2 linked regions of the Tamandua tetradactyla genome follow. The protein of the gene in region 1 interacts with the protein of each later gene in a pairwise test. Links are inferred from orthologs where the notes say so. Each region holds a gene or a part of one and is shown on either strand. Other genes may lie near its edges.

The links.
Region 2: the proteins of LMTK2 (region 1) and MYO6 interact in a two-hybrid assay, tested with the Homo sapiens proteins (2 studies listed by BioGRID). The link is inferred for Tamandua tetradactyla from reciprocal best matches to the Homo sapiens genes LMTK2 and MYO6.

What each region holds. Positions count from the first base shown.
Region 1 is NC_135349.1:6,212,049-6,220,240, forward strand, and holds the start of LMTK2 (serine/threonine-protein kinase LMTK2), read left to right. Parts: upstream 1-5,160; 5' UTR 5,161-5,441; coding exon 5,442-5,535; intron 5,536-8,192. UniProt on the Homo sapiens protein: Phosphorylates PPP1C, phosphorylase b and CFTR.
Region 2 is NC_135331.1:131,995,745-132,003,972, forward strand, and holds the start of MYO6 (unconventional myosin-VI), read left to right. Parts: upstream 1-5,041; 5' UTR 5,042-5,212; exon of another isoform or gene 5,213-5,252; intron 5,253-5,258; exon of another isoform or gene 5,259-5,382; intron 5,383-8,228. UniProt on the Homo sapiens protein: Myosins are actin-based motor molecules with ATPase activity. Unconventional myosins serve in intracellular movements. Myosin 6 is a reverse-direction motor protein that moves towards the minus-end of actin filaments.

The sequences.
Region 1 (8,192 bases):
AATCAGTACGCTTATGCTTCAGGATCATATGTTGCTTTAAATCAGAAAAATATTTGCTATTGAACTCACACAGTTCACATTTATAGAGGCCGCTGCTATTAACTCTCAGTAAGGGCCATTTCTGCTGGGCAGTCACATTCAAAGCTTGACTCTTGTCAAGAACTTTACAAAGTTTAGCTGATGGTTCTTCATCAGTCTGGTCTTGGAGACTCTCAGAAGAATTGTTCTCTGTCTCTATATCATAATCCTCAGAAATTGCATGCACTTCTGCAACAATCGGAACATCTTCGGCAGTATGAACTTCTACAGGACTCTCCTCTTGCGTTTGTTGATTGACTGATTCAGGAGAGTCACACTCTTCATCACATATTTCAATATCTGCAGATTTTTCTGTGGAAAAGGAATTGTGGTCTAGAATTCTAAGAACAGGACTGGGAACCAGGTAGCTCTGATTTCTGTTTATGGCTTTGATTCCATCTGTAAATTTTGGCAAGTCATTTGATGCCTCCGTATCAGAATCATCATCTTTGTTGTCAAAATATTTTAAGTCTGGCTGTCTCATAGAACAGACACTATAACAATGATCAGAAAAAATTCCACTGAATCCATCTGCAATTCTGCTTATTCCAGAGGAATCTGAATAACGAGAAGGGTGAAAAGTCTTCCTTTTTCTTTTTTTAGGATATTCATTCATATCTTTTAAATTTGGTATTAATTCTTAATACTGGAGTAAGAAAAAAGGAATTACAGGAAAATTTCCACAGATGGTAAGAAATGCCTTTTATTTGTGTTTCTGCTGTTATGAAGACTTTTGCTCACTAGTCCTCTCATTGGGATATTTGTGAATTGCATGCAATTTATTATTTGCGCCACCTTCTCCATGGTTGGGCATATCCTTCAGTCAGGCACCAACTTTTACCCCTTTGCAAAGAGAAAATCCGCTTCAAATTACTTGTGTGCCTAGGCTGTACAGTAGCAGGAGGCCAAGGCGCGCCGAGGGCGGGATTAGGTGTGGCCCTGTCGTCGTGAGGGCGGAGGGTTCCGCCATCCCGCCCTAAAACGGCGGCAGGTTTTCGGTCCGCCTCTTGTAATTCTTTTTGTTGAAAACTGGACATTTAAAATCATGTAATGTGGATACTCTGGAAATATATCTCTCCCTTGTTACTAACCAAAGGTTTATTGTTGCTGTTTGTTGTTACTGCTACTGCTATTTGTTTAGTGACTTTCCTGACTAATTCTGTGAAGTCTGTTTTCTTTGTTGTGTGGCCACTAACGTCTCTATTCAGTTAGCTTAGTAGTCAGCTAATGATTGGATAAAGATTTCCTTAGATGTCTCAAACCAATAAGTCTCCCAGGCTTTACTGAGGGGCTATGTGTTCAGACATGCCTTCAATCCTAAGGCATTTGAAAATTATGTCTCAGCCTTTATTCCCTATTTTCCCAGAGCCTCAAGGTTAGTCAGAGATGAGAAATTAGACCCTTCGAATTTTTTTCCTGGGCAAATGCACAGCCCCTACACATACAGATGGCTTTCTTGATTTCCGGTAATATGTTTTTCAGAGCCACCTACTGACATCACAATCCCCAGATTTTTCTTTTAAGTTTTTCATCAGTCAACTGATAACAGCAGCTGAGGCAGCTGCAATGTTGAACAATTGCCACTGACTATTTTTGACAAACTGGGGACAGGGCTGTTGTGTTGAGGTAGCTCTGGGTTAGTCTCAAGTCAGATAAGCCCTGAAAATGGTACTTTTCCAGGGAACTGTCAGAAAAGTCAAATAGGCCAGTCCTCTGGGGATAAAACTCTTAGGTGAGTTTCAACCCTGCTCTGTCCTGTTTGGTTTGATAAAGCTGCCAGAATGCAACACATCAGAAATGGAATGGCTTTTATAAAGGAAATTTATTAAGTTGCAAGTTTACAGTTTATGGCCATAAAAATGTCTAAACCAAGGCATCCAGATAAAGATACCTTGACTCAAGAAAGGCTGATGGCTCCAGAACACCCCTTACAGCTGGGAAGGCACGTGGCTGGTGTCTGCTGGGGTCTTTGACTTCTGGTTTCAAACAGTTTCCCTGGGGGCATTTTCTTTCTGCATCTCCAAACGTCTGGGTCTTGTGTTGCTCTGTCACTTTTGTTCTCCAAGCATCTTCAGATGCCTGTGTCTTTGACTGTGTCAGCTCTCAGTTTTCTCCAAAATGTTTCCCCTTTTAAGGGACTCCAATAAACTAATCAAGGCCCACCTTGAATGGGCAGGGCCACATCTCCAGGGAAGTAATCTAATCAAAAGGTCACGCCCACAACTTGGTTGTCATATCTCCACAGAAGCAATCCAATCAAAGTTTCCCACCCTAAACAATAGGTCTGGCCTCACAAAATTGGATCAGGATTAAACCATGGCTTTTCTGGGGTTCATAATATTTTCAAACTGGCACATGTCCCCTTCAGTTGACTGCTAGGCTGTGGTTTTTCAAAGCTGCCATGGAGGCGGGCAGAGAAGAATGAGAATAGGGCAAGTTAAGTGCTACACCACTTGCTGTTCTTACTGAGATTCAGCCATTTTTCTTGAATAAATGCTTCTTGTGTTGCAAACTTTTTGTTAGTTTCCAGAGTTCTGAAAAAGTTGATTTTGACAATTCTGGTGTGTCCTCATTGCTTTTGCTGTGGCCCTTACTCCTCCATTCTAGAAGGGCTTCTCTTCATTATTATTATTATTTTTTTGTATGCTGTATGGTGGGGGTCACATTTCATTCTTTTTCCATGTAAGTATCCCCTTATCACAGCACCATTTGCTGAATTTTTGTTTGTTTGGTTTTTCATTTGTTTGTTTGCTTGTTTGTTTGTTTGGGAAGTGTATGGGCTGGGAACTAAACCCAGGTCTCCCGCATAGGAGGTGAGAACTCTACCACTGAATTACCCTTGTACCACCTCATTATCTTTTTTAAGAAAAGATTTTTAAAGAAGTTGTGGGCTTACCGAAAATAAACCACACGTAAAATACAGGGTTTCCCTATACTACCCTATTATTAACACCTTGCATAAGTGTGATATATTTGTTACTTATTACCTTTTTTAAAATGTCATTTACTTAAGTGTAGGGGTATATAACTAAATTCTTAACAATGGCATGCAAAATTCCTGAATATTTAACAATTGGCTTTCACAAGCTGGTACAAGCTGGTTCCAAACCACCACTGACAGGAGCCTGGTGGACGTGCCCATTTGATCTAGCTCAGCTCTGCAAACCTTTAGAGTGGTCACTGGGCCCCAGACCTCAATATGTGAAATCTCTTCCAGAACTAAAATGATTCCAGGTCCCTCAGTATCCCGCCTTCAACAGAGCTTGCTGAGAGGATAGATACCGCATGTAGGGTGGGTGTTTCAAGTGATGGTTTGGCATGGCAGAAATTTTGGAAAAGGCTGATCACATGTGAGAACTGCTGTAGGAACACTGAAAGATATTGCTTCCAATCTTAGAGATCTAATCCCAAATTGTGGCAAGGGTTGTTTCTGGCTCTTAGGTGAAACGAAATAAAGCAAAGAGGTTTTTTTTAAATAAATTCTCTAACTAGAACTCTTCAAGAAAAGGATTGAGCAAAAGTTTGAGTGATGAGGTAGCTAGTTGGTTAAAGACTTCTTTCTATTAGACACGCTCTGAGGAATATGTACCTTAACCCCTGTTCTGTGAAGTGAAAAAGTAAGTTCTTTTTTTACTTCTGGACTTGACCAAATAATAACAAAGCCCACTTTGGGGTTGTAGTCTGATGTGCTGTTGGGCTGCACCTAAATTATAATTAACAACCACAAGGTTTATGAGGCAGGGCATTTGTTGGGGCCAACGCAGCTGCAAATAACCAGAATCTCTTCCCAGAACATGGCATGAGCACACCCTGGCTTCCTCAGACTCAGAGTCTGCAGCTTCCTGATAGAAGTAGAAGCATAACAGGGTGATTGTGTGTCTTTTGAAGATTTTTGCCTTCCTTGTTTTTCCCAGCACTCAGCCATGGACAACTTTAACTCAGTATTTCACATTCCAGCCATTTGTTTACTTAGCTGTTTATTGGCTTGCCTTAATCATTCAACAGCTGTTCCCTCGGCATTAAGCGTGTGTCCAGCGCTGGGTTAACACCTTAGAAAGCCGGCACTGAGGATGGGCATTTGGGGAGTTTGGAGAGTTGGGGAGGTTACCCTGCTTGCAATCAATGGTCAAGTCCTGTCTGATAAGATTCAACCATTCCCTCTTGTGCACAGCCCCACTGAACCACAAGTGTTTTCTCCAGGAAAGCCCAGCATTTTTCCGACCGCAGGCCTTTGACCACTATGTTATTTCTGCCTGGAATGTGCTTTCTCTACCTTTTCTGCAGGACCGTGGCCTCTCCTCACCTTTTTGGTGGGCAAAGGGCTGCACCTGGAAGCTGACGCACCTCCCTGTGTCAGGACTAGGCTCCATTCCTTTAGAGAACGCCTAAACTATGCCAGGCCCTGTGTCAGACCCTAGGGACCCCCAGTTGAGCTGGGCACAGTTCCTGCCCTCGGGGAGCTTACAGTGACAGAACAATACTCTCTGGGAGCTCAGATAGCAGAAAGGAGGCGGAGTCGCTTCTCCCGCCGATTCGGGAGGGGCCTTCTTGAATGTTGCCTTCCATCAGGTGAGTCTTGAAGGTGTCTGCCAGGTGGACAAGAGAGGACAGGAAGGGCATTCTTGGCAGAGGGAACAACTTGAGCTAAGGAGCTGAATCAGTGGGTGACCAGAGGAGAGGCATTCCGTTTTTACTGAACTGAAATAAAAAGCCCAAAGTTCTTTGGCTGATAGCATGTGTAGGTCAATGTAAGGGGATGAGCCCAAGACAGTTCCATTATAGGTACGTTATAAAATCTTAGAAAAAAATTCAGGATGGAGTATAGATGTTTTTTATTGCCTCCTTTATACTTTTCTGCATTTTTAAATTTAAAATAATTGTCGGAATTACCTGCTGCCCACTCACCGCTCGGTCTGCAGGGGGCGCCCCGGCGGCCACCCCTCCAACCGTCGGGGTGATGGGCGGGGCTTCCCAGGCCGCTGCGGAACTGACGATTGGCTGACGGGGCCATCTCTCACGGCATCCCGCCCGCGCTCTACGTCACATGACGCAGCCCATCATGGCGACGGCATCGCGGCTGACCCGGCCCGCCGCTCCGCAGGGCTGCTGCCGTTGCTGCTGTTGAGAGGCGGCGGCGGCGACGCGGGCGGGCGGGAAGGATGAGGTTTCTGTGGCCCGAGCGGTGGGCGCGGACCAGGAGCCGGGCTGAGGTTTGGGCGAAACAACGTGTGCACCGGAGCCTCCCGCGCGGGTGCTGCTGAGGCAGCTGAGGGAGGTAGGACCGATTGACTGACGGACCGATTGACGGTCGGACGGTCGGAAGGCAATCCGAGAACCGGTCCCGAGGCCGCGGCGCGGGCGAGATGCCGGGGCCGCTGGCGTTGCTGCTGCCGCCGCTGTTGCTGCTTCTGGCCGCCGGCAGTGCCGGGGCCGCGCCACTTCCGCAAACAGGTGCAGGTGAGCGGGCCCGCGGCGGGGACAGGGCTGCGGGGCCGCTGAGACTGGGGTGGCCGAGGAGCAGGGCGGCAGGCCTCCGCGTCGCGGGATCCGAGGGCCTGAGGGGGCGGGAGGCCGGGGAGCGATCAGGGAGATTTCTGGTGCAGGGGCGTGGGTTGGGGGGCGGGCTGCCTCTGGAGGGCCGAGGCGGGGGCGAGGCGATGCCTTTGGGCCTGGGGGTGGGGTGGCAGCGACCGACCCCTCCCGGAGGAAGCTGCGGTACCGGCTCTGGACCTGTTGCCTACAGGCCCTTCAGCCTCCGTCTCTCTTGCTGGCGTTTTGCTTCCCTTTCCAGATGTCACCTGCCTCCTGTGCATTTCTCACATCTTATAATAAGAACCATTTCTTAGCCCAAATCACACTTAAGTGCAAATGACTTGGAGAGCCCGGAGTTTCGCTCCCTGCAACTTGTTCAAAAGTTGTAAATTGATTTTAGACGCTATGCTTTTTATTCGAAACGAGTCTCCGGGGATAAGAAGGAAACAGCTCAACTGTAAATATTTCTATTTTAGGAAGCCGGTGATTAGAGTAGCAGCCTTTGAATAACTATTAGACAAACTCGTGCAAGGGTGATTTAAGTTACTATTTTAGCTATGTAAGTGTGCGATTTTTTTTTCTCTCCCCATTTTCTCAACGTCCTTTTCATTTGGGGTTTATTTTCCTGACTCACATTTCGACCTAAGAAAGCATGCTAAGCCAAGTTAGATAATATTTTTAAAAAGGAAAATCTAGGTTACTTTGCCATTACCATCTGCTGCTTGTCGTTGAAAAGGGGATACACTGACACTTAATGGACTCAGGATTTTAGAGTTAGAAGAAACCTTAAAGGAAATTTAATCCAGTCTCTTCGTTTTGCAGTTGAAGATACTGAGGTCTACAGAGTCAAATGACCTACCCAAGGTGACACCGCTAAAATTGTAGACGGAGCCACACCTAAAACCCAGGTCTTTAGATTACCCTAGTTGTGTGGTTTTTCTACTTTGTCACTTCAGTCTTTTAAGTGTTTAGGAATACTCTTGGGATCAAGAGTTATTTTAGAATAATGTTAATTGGATACGTGCAGAATGTGGAAGTGCTGTTTCCAGTAAAGTCTTATTTTTCAGACAGATTTGTGATGAAATCTATATATAATTACTCTTGCTCAAAGCTATTCTAGGTATGTCATTGAGTGTCCTTACTAGTGAATACTAAATGTTATCACTGCACAATGTAGCTCTAAATTTTTGCCACTGCCTTAGATCAAATATTTGTAAAGTCCAGCCCAGGTAGGAGAAAGTACCTGGGAAGCTATGAAAGTCTGTATGTATGGAAGATAATGAAATTGATATTGAAATTGAAAATAAACTCTAGACTAGATTAGTAGATAAAGAGTATTTATGTGAAGGGTATTAAGGAAGTTTCCAGATAATATATTAATCAATTTTTCGAATTCTGAAAAATCTATCCTTTGTAGGACTTATTGAATTGTGTCTGCCTATCAACTTCTTACACATTTTTTATACCATTCTTTTACTTTTTTTATGAATCATAAAAAAACTAAATTTTGTTGGCATTGTAGAACAAAACAATAAAAAATTAATCCATAGATAAAAATATCAAATCTTGACATATAGCATGAAGTACATTTGGTAATTTATAGCAACTTTTGCCGATTTTCCCTTTGTATTCTGATCCTTTGAAGGTGTGTGATTAGATGTGTCGCATATGGATGATAGATGCCTAGAGTTAAAGTCTGTGGAAAAGATACACCGAATTGAATTGATTTGGAGGTTTGTCTTTCCATCCAAAAGTGATTATTATTCCTGGGCTCTTGAACAGGATATGTTAGACCAATCCTGATAAGTGAGCTCACTTGTTAAGAAAGGAGAACCCCTCTTGAATATATGTAGTAGATAAAAGAGCAGTTAAATGTTGAAAACGTAACCAACAAACTTTTGATTATCTAGGGGCCTGTACTTCATACAAAGATGGGGCTATCCATTTCCAAGTAAGGATAGACCCATTGCCTGGGGTCTTTTGCCTCCTTTATCATTTTTACATAAGGTTCAAACTGGTTAATAATGGTGCTTCAGAAGAAGTATGCTTGTCAAATTTAAGGCTGAAAAGAAAACTTAAGTTTATGATATCTTTGTCATCCAAAATCATTTGTAGGTTTGGAGGCTGATGAAGATATTTACACATTCAGTCATAACGCAGCTATGTAAACCTGTGGATTTACACTCACTCATGAGGCAACAAGGCATTTCTTGGTTGAACATATTTTTGGAACCTCTCTTTATTGTTCTGAGATGCCCTCATGGCTTGTCTGGGACCCTCTTTTCTTGAGACTCTGTTTTTCTGCTAGGACCCTGGTTTTTATGTAAACTAAGGCCTTGTTGGGTCACAGGAGGAAGCTTACATAAAGGGAGAAAGTTCACTTTCACACACAGCTAAATTACCAAACTAAGATTACAGTTAAATTCTTTTCTTCAGATTGTAGTTATGGGATCATCTCGTAGAAAACATTTCTAAGTCTTTTGTAGGATTCTCAAGTTTCAGGGACTTGAAATAAAGATTTGACTTGTGTATGTATGTGAAGGCATTCCTATAAGCTCGTAGTTTGTAATTAATAATAAGAT
Region 2 (8,228 bases), on another chromosome or scaffold:
ATGCAGTTTCTTAGAATTGTCAGCTTTCTTACTAGTTGTTCATTCATCTGTCCCATTCAGTCAGTAGTAATAATAATGGTAGGCACTGTTCAATAAGTGCTTACTCTGTCAGAGTAACTCAGCTTGGCACTAGAGACACGAAGACAGACAAATCTTCTACCCTCCCCTCAAGAAGCTTACTGTCCAGTTGGTGGATGGTCACAAGTAAAGTGAAGTAACATAGTGAAATAAGTATTGGAAGAGCTGTTTGCAAAGGGTGCTATCAGAGTGACGGGAAAGAGCACCAAATTGCTACTAGGTTTTGGAATAAGAGGGTTTAGGGAAAACTTCTTGGGGTGAGGGTAGGGGGACACGTGCTTTCTTCTGAAGGATTAATTGACTTAGCTGGGCAATGTTCCAATGCAATATATAGCATAGCTGTCTGTTCTGCTGGGACATGCAGGCACTTCAGAATAGCTTGAATGTAACAAACAACATATGGGGAAAGGCAGACGCTAGAAATGAGATTGAACAGGTAAGTGGGGTTAGGATAGTAATCCAAAATCAAGTGACTCCAAAGACAAGCAGGTACTGTGTGAAGAAGTCTGATTGGTGTAGGACAGCTCTGTGGGATCTACAAAGCCAATGGCAAGGCATCCACATTCAATTAGAAGAAAAGAGACTTCCGGAGAAGATGGCGGCTTAGTAAGACGTGCGGGTCTTAGTTCCTCCTCCAGAAAAGCAACTAAAGAAACAGAAACAATACCAAACAGCTCCCGGAGTCACGACAGAGACCAAAAAGACAGCGTACCCCATTCTGGAACAGCTGAACGGGCAGGGAGAATCTGCTGCGGTGAGATGCCCGAGGGGCGCACGTTTTCCCGGCCGGGGTGGCTGGCGACTGGGGTCCCCTCCACGCACGTGGCTCCCCGGTCTGACTGGAAACGTTGGATAGCGGGGCCCTCCCGTCATGCTTGGCATTTCGGGCCAGCTGGGCAATTAGGACCGGCACTCTCCCAAGCCGCGGCGGCCAGCGACCCCCGCCTCCACGCGCGGTTTCCCTGGCCGACTGCCGTGCAGACAGACGAGCGCCACGAGCGCCACCTACTGGGCAGGAAAAGAAAAACAGAGCCCAGAGATTTCACAGAAAAACCTTTCAACCAGCTGGGTCCCACACCCAGGGAAATCTGATCAAATGCCCAGACACCAGCAGAAAATAATGGATGACGCTCGGAAAATTGAAGATATGGCCCAGTCAAAGGAACAAACCAATAGTTCAAATGAGATACAGGAGCTGAGACAACTAATGCTGAATATACGAACAGAAATGGAAAAACTCTTCAAAAACCAAATCAATAAATTGAGGGAGGACATGAAGAAGACATGGGCTGAACAAAAAGAAGAAATAGAAAATCTGAAAAAACAAATCACAGAACTTATGGGAGTGAAGGACAAAGAAGAAAAAATGGAAAAAACAATGGATACCTACAATGGTAGATCTAAAGAGACAGAAGCTACAATTAGTGAACTGGAGGATGGAACATCTGAATTCCAAAAAGAAACAGAAACTATCGGGAAAAGAATGGAAAAACTTGAGCAGGGGATCAGGGAACTGAATGACAATATGAAGCGCACAAATATACGTGTTGTGGGTGTCCCAGAAGGAGAAGAGAAGGGAAAAGGAGGAGAAAAACTAATGGAAGAAATTATCACTGAAAATTTCCCAACTCTTATGAAAGACCTATCTTTTGTTTTTGTTTTTTTTCTTTTTCCTTTTATATATATATATATATATATATATATAATTAGTATTATTATTTTAATTCTCTTCTCTATATTAACATTCTATATCTTTTTCTGCTGTTTTGCTAGTTCTTTTCCTAAATCGATGCAAATGTACTAAGAAATGATGATCATACATCTATGTGATGATACTAAGAATTACTGAGTGCATTTGTAGAATGGAATGATTTCTAAATGTTGTGTTAATTTCTTTTCTTTTTTTTGATTAATAAAAAAATTAAAAAAAAAATTAGAAGAAAAGACTATTCACCATTCTAGCTAATCAAAAGCTAAATCAAAAAGGGTCTTATAAACCATCTAAAGTAGTTTGGACTTTATCAGTAGAGTGTCATTATAAGACATTAAATAGATGCCTAGATAATAGAATTTTCATTTTATAAAAGATAAATCTGATGATGTCGAGGAGATTGGATTGGAAAGGGACAAGATTGCAGTCTGGGAAACTGGTTAGGTGGGCAAGGCAGTTGGCAACACCTGTGATGTGATGGTGGCCTGTGTTAATTTTCCTGGTTTCTCCTGAACCACTGCATTATTTGCTTGAGCAGCCAAAGAAACTAAAACATAGCCTGAAATTTAGGTAATGGTTGTGTCTTTGAAGAGAAATTGGGTACACGAGAAATAATATGGAACTAGAAAGAAAGGGACTCAATAATTGATTGGAAATGAGGGCAAAGAGGGAGAGAAGTCCCAGGTTTTGGTCCCAAAATTGGTTAATCATGAAGAATTGTCAGTTGTATCATTTTCTATTGGTCTGCCAAGGCCTTTTATCCTCAATCCAAAATGAGGTCTCACCAAAGGAAGTGATGTTTATTTGGCACAAAATTTATATTTTAGGTAGCTCATTATCTAACTTAACTTGTATGGTCAGTTTACTTGAACACCATAATTACAGAGAATCTTGAATGGGGCAGGAGATCTTGTTGGTTTGTACAGGTTAGTGTGATACCCTGATACATCCCAGAGAAATCTGGACAGATAATAAAAAAGTATTTTCAAAGTCCCCTTGGGAGAATAGATGGGGGGGAAGGAAGAAATATTCAACTTCCTTATCTGGGGAACTTCTGATATTCTCGCAAACAGTGGGAACAACCAATTCAACAGGCGGAGCCCTCGATCTTGGGGTTTGCCCCTATGAAACTTATTCCTGTAAAGGAGAAGATAAGCCTACTGATAATTATGCCTAAGAGTCACCCCCAGAGAATATCTTTTGTTGCTCAGATGTGGACTCTCTCTCCAAGCAAACTTGGCAGGTGAACTGACCGCCTACCACTCCGCATGGGACATGACTCCCAGGGGTAAAAATCTCCCAGGCAACATTGGACCTGACTCCCAGGGATAAGCCAAGATCCACAACATGGAATTGAGAGAGTCTTCTTGAGCAAAAGGGGTAGAGAGAATTGAGACAAAATAAAGTTTTAGTGGCTGAGAGATTTCAGAGTCTAAAGGTTATCCTGGAGGTATTCTTATGTATTATATAGATATTCCTTTTTGGTTTATGGTGTATTGGAGTGGCTGGAGGGAAGTACCTGAAACTGTTGAATTGTATTCTAGGAGCCTTAATCCTTGAAGATGATTGTATAACTATGTAGCTATTACAATGGGGCTGTGTGATTGTGAAAACCTGTGTCTGATGCTCCTTTTAGCCAAGGTATGGACAGATGTGAAAATATAGGGACAAAAAATAAATAGGGGAGAGGATAAGGGATTAAAAAATTGGGTAGACTGAAATACTAGTGGTCACTAAAAGGGAGGGGTAAAGAAGTACGGGATGTATGAGTTTTTACTTTTTTTAATTTATTTTTATTTTTTTATTAATTAACGGAAAAAAAGAAATTAACCCAACATTTAGAAATCATACCATTCTACATATGCAATCAGTAATTCTTAACATCATCACTGAGTTTTTACTTTTTATTGATTTTCCTGGAGTGACGCAAATGATTTAAAAATGATCATGGTGATTAATACACAACTACGTGATGATATTGTGAGCCACTGATTGTACACTATGGGTGGACTGTATGTGTGTGATAATATCCCAAGAAATATTTTTTAAAAATGAGGTCACAGAACTGAAGTGAAACACAGGGATCTTTATTTGCTTCTTTTTCTTCTTTCAAATTCTTTTGAAATCCAGTTTTATACAATTAAGATTTACCTCCCGGTAATATGTAATTGAATTTCTGAGATTGTGGTAAATTATTTCCTTTCTTGGTTTCTCTTCCTCTCTCTTACTTCCCTATTTTAGTGTTAAAAAAGTTGTTTTAGTCATAACAGCTTTCCCATCAAGAGAACTGAGGAGTATCTAGATACCTGAAGCTTGTCTCTTCTGAATTTCCAGAATTTCCTTAAGTTGAGACTTGGCAATGTGGGGAAAAAAGTTATAATTCCCTGTGTATATGCTCTAGCTTTTTTCAGCTAAACATTTAGCATTATAGTCAATAATCCTTCCATTTTCTTAAAAGAAGCTTCTTTCCATCTTAAAGGTGATATTTTCATTATATAACTAAAATTTGCATAGCTACTTTCATATTTGATTTTAAAATATGATTCACAAATACATCACTTATGAAACAGTAAAAATCTAACGACAGAGAAGCTCCAGGCTCTAAAGAGTTAAGTGCTGGGGTGGGAGTGGGTGGGAAAAGATATGCAAACTTTCCATCTCAGACCCTTCCGCAGTAAAAGCATAAAACCGAGTTTGTTTGGAAAGAAGGTCACTACCTTCATTGGGCAGCCCAGCTCAAGCAAAGCGGGAATGGAGGCACGTTCGTAGTCGTTCTTTCCTCTCCCACAAGAGAGACGCGCTGCCGCGGGCCCGGGCGCGGACACCTGGGCCCGGGGCCCTCGCGCAGTGCGTAGTCCTTGCCGGCCGCGCACCCTGCGCTCCTCAACTCCTCTCTGAACAGCTCCTTTCTCTTCGGCTTGAGCATATTCTTGTACTCAGACTACAAGATACGGACTGCGTGTCACCGTATCTAGTCCGGAGGGGACAGACATTCCTTGGGAAAAGAAACAATGAACGTTTCTCGGGGAGAGAAACGAGGCTCTAGGCTCGGCCACAAGTAGCCCCGCGCGGCACTGGAACACCCCTCTCCGAATCCCCGAGGATAGGCGCCGTGCGCGGAGGGGCGGGGTGGCGCGGGCTTGGGACCCAAGCGCCCCCTCCCGGGAGGCGTCCCCGCTCGGCTGGCCGGGGCCCGCGGCGCCCCCGCCCCTTCGGGCGCTCCGTCGCGATGACGTGCGCGGCGCGGGCTGGGGACTCGGTGGGGCGCCGGCCGCGGGCGGAGACGGATCCGAGATCTGTCCCAGCAGGAAGCAAGCAGGAGCCCGGCTGCTGCCGCGCTGTCGCAGCGCTCGTCCGCGTCACCGTCCTCCTCCCCCACCCTAGTCACCTTTTATTCCCGCCCTCCAGCTTCACCGGCGACAGGTAACCCCGCCGCCGCACACCTGCCTCCGCACCCGTGCGGGTGAGTTTGCAGGAGTCTCGGTTGGGGGGGTGGGGCGGAAACGTCGGGACCTCGTTTCTCCCGGCTCTGCTTTGGGGCCTCCTCGGGCCTCCCCGCGACCGACGGCTCATTTCACCTTCCGAGGACGCAGGTGGGCGAAGCAGGTGATGGGTGGGTCGGGCTGGCGGCTGTGCCGGGACTGCGGCGACTTGCAGTGATATCAGAGGTGGCTGTCCTTTCCACAGAAAGACAATAAGATACTTCTTTCATGGGTTTATCATCACCAAGATACTTTTGTGTTTCATCTTTGGCTCCCAGGCAGAGGTAGAACACTCAGATGTACATCTCTGACTTGGATACTTGGCTAGATTCTTTTTTAGGGGGTAAACTTAAAATTCAGTGCAGGCAGAATGCTGTCTGTTCTTGGACGTGAAAATCAGCTTCTATTATGTAGGAGACGAGACTGGGACTTTCTGAAGCTGTATTTTTTTCAGTCTTTAGATGGTTCAGTACCTTGAATTTGTTAATTTTCGTACATGGGACTGAACAAGAGCTTTTTATATTTCTTAATTTCCAAAACTCCAAGATGCTCAGGATGCTGGGATTTTAATTTTAAATGGGAAGTAATTTGATGAAATTATTACTCGAACGTCCGTGTCAGAAATTTTTATACGGCTTCAGAAAACATGTTACATTTTATTTGGCATAAAATATGTGGTGGTGGTGGTGGGATGCGTAAATGCTAATCTACAAATATTAGTGGGGAAATAGCAACACTGACCAAACTTAATCCTTTGTTTGGTTTGCTGTTATGCTCTGATGTTGTAAATTCAGTATATCTAAATACAGTCAGGGTTTGAGAGATTTTAAAAATTAATATTCTTAAGGTTTAGCAGAAACTATCCTCATGCCATAAAATGTGGTTCTTGAACTTGGGTTGATAGTGAACATGGTACAAAGGTTGGCAGCAAGGTAGCATTTCTGTACAAATTAACTGAACTTCATAGATGTCTTGGGTTGTAGTTTTCTAGTTGAAAATTGTTCAGTGAAATTACTTTACTGTCTTTATCCTTAATTTTAGAAACATCACAAATGTTAAAAAGTAGGCTGTAGCTAAACTTGAAACAATGCAGCCATTCAAAATAGCTCACTGACTTTTAATATACAGCTTATTTTGAGTATTTTCAGTTGCCCAGGAATTACATGTAGAGTGAGAAAGAGGTCATTTTAATCTTATGCAGATTTGCTCTTACATTTGTATGCTCTTATTTGACATGCTGTTTATTATTTTGTCAGCTTTTTAAGTTAAATTTTTTGTTATTAAAAATTAATTTTATAAGACAGTAATCAAAGTTATTAAAGACTCTAAAAAGAGATCATGATTCAAAATGCTATGTCATATGTAATATAAAATGATATATGTAACATCTATTTCTCATTAGTCCTAGAAACACGAGCACGAAAATTATAGTGAGCTATTGCAATGTTGAATGTAAATTAATGCAAGGTATTACAAACAGTTCATATATAAACTTTCCACAGTAGTTAAATCATAACCTTTGGGACTTATCTGAAATGGAATTTTTCCCTGTTTATGTTTATGTGATCAAGTTTTAAAATAACAGTGGCCAGGAAATCTGAGAGAGGCTGGAGGCTCTTTTCTCATCCTGTTGTGACTTTGCCTGGAGTCTGTGGTGTATCATGTAGCTCATTGTTTAGACAACTGGGCTCTATCTGTGTTCTAAAGTATAGCTTTCTTCATGAAGTTCTAAAGGTTTTGACCATGTGAAGTTTGAATGAAAGCAAGCACCCTTAAAATTTTAAAAAATTAACCATTTAACTGTTAATTGTTGAGACTTTGTCTTTGATTTGTAAAATGGCAGTTCTAAAAAGAGATTTTTAACCTCTTTAAGTTTTTCAGTTGTATATATTTAAAATATCTTATTTTTTAAATCAAAGATTGAAAAGGCCAAAGAAAAGATTGACGGCTTTAATGGCTGTGATTTCCATAATGAGATACTTCTTAATAATTTGTGAACTGGCTTTAGTAATTTACGAATATCATCTTTTATTAGCATCTGCCATACTCTGAACAGTAACTGAGGTGCTTGATCTTGGTGGTCTTGTCCTATTTTTACCTACGAGGAAACTTAAGCTAAGAAAGGTAAATACTCCTGAGGGGCAAAGTCTGGATTCACACCCAGATCTTTTGACCCTGAAGCCTCTGTTCTTTCCATCAGGTTTGCCTTGATTTCACTTCACTTAGTAAATTGTTCACATAAACCTGCAGAACTGGTATTGTGATAAAGAATGTAATTAGAAGTTTGAAAAAGGCCCTGAGGAGTAGATGTGATAGTCCATGAGTATGGCTCTGGAACTAATTGAGAATTCTGTGTGTCTGTGTCTTCATTCTTGAGTTGACAGTCTTGAACAATTATTTCATGTTGCTTTATCAGTTCTGGTGTAGTCCAAGAATGTTTTACATATTGTCGCACTTTATAGGAACAAGAACTAGACTGAACTCTAATACTGGTCTTCACTGTAGGCAAAATGAGTAGTATAATGTCTCTGGTTAGGACAAAACATCAAAGTTTTCCATGTAGTAGCTGTCTTTGGATATTATATGATTAACTCTGATCCCAGGAAATAACCTTGTTTTCGTATAATGATTAAATTGTTGCCTGTATTATTAGGTCAAATCTTTTTATGACCCATATTTATTTTAGGAATGTCCCTTGAGTTATAATAGAGATAAAGGACAAAAGTGAGCATATGAAGTTGATCATTTGTTACAAACTAGAATTCATACATTTCAGTAGTTGGATGGAGTTGAGTAAATGAACAGAAAAGGGGTAGGATGGCTGGGTTTGGTGGCTACATTTTTACAAGGTGGTTTAATTATTTGGTTTAAACAATTAAGAGGTTTGCATCTTATGGATACCATATTCAACTATAAATACAAAATCATTATCCAGATGCGTAATATAAATGATTAAT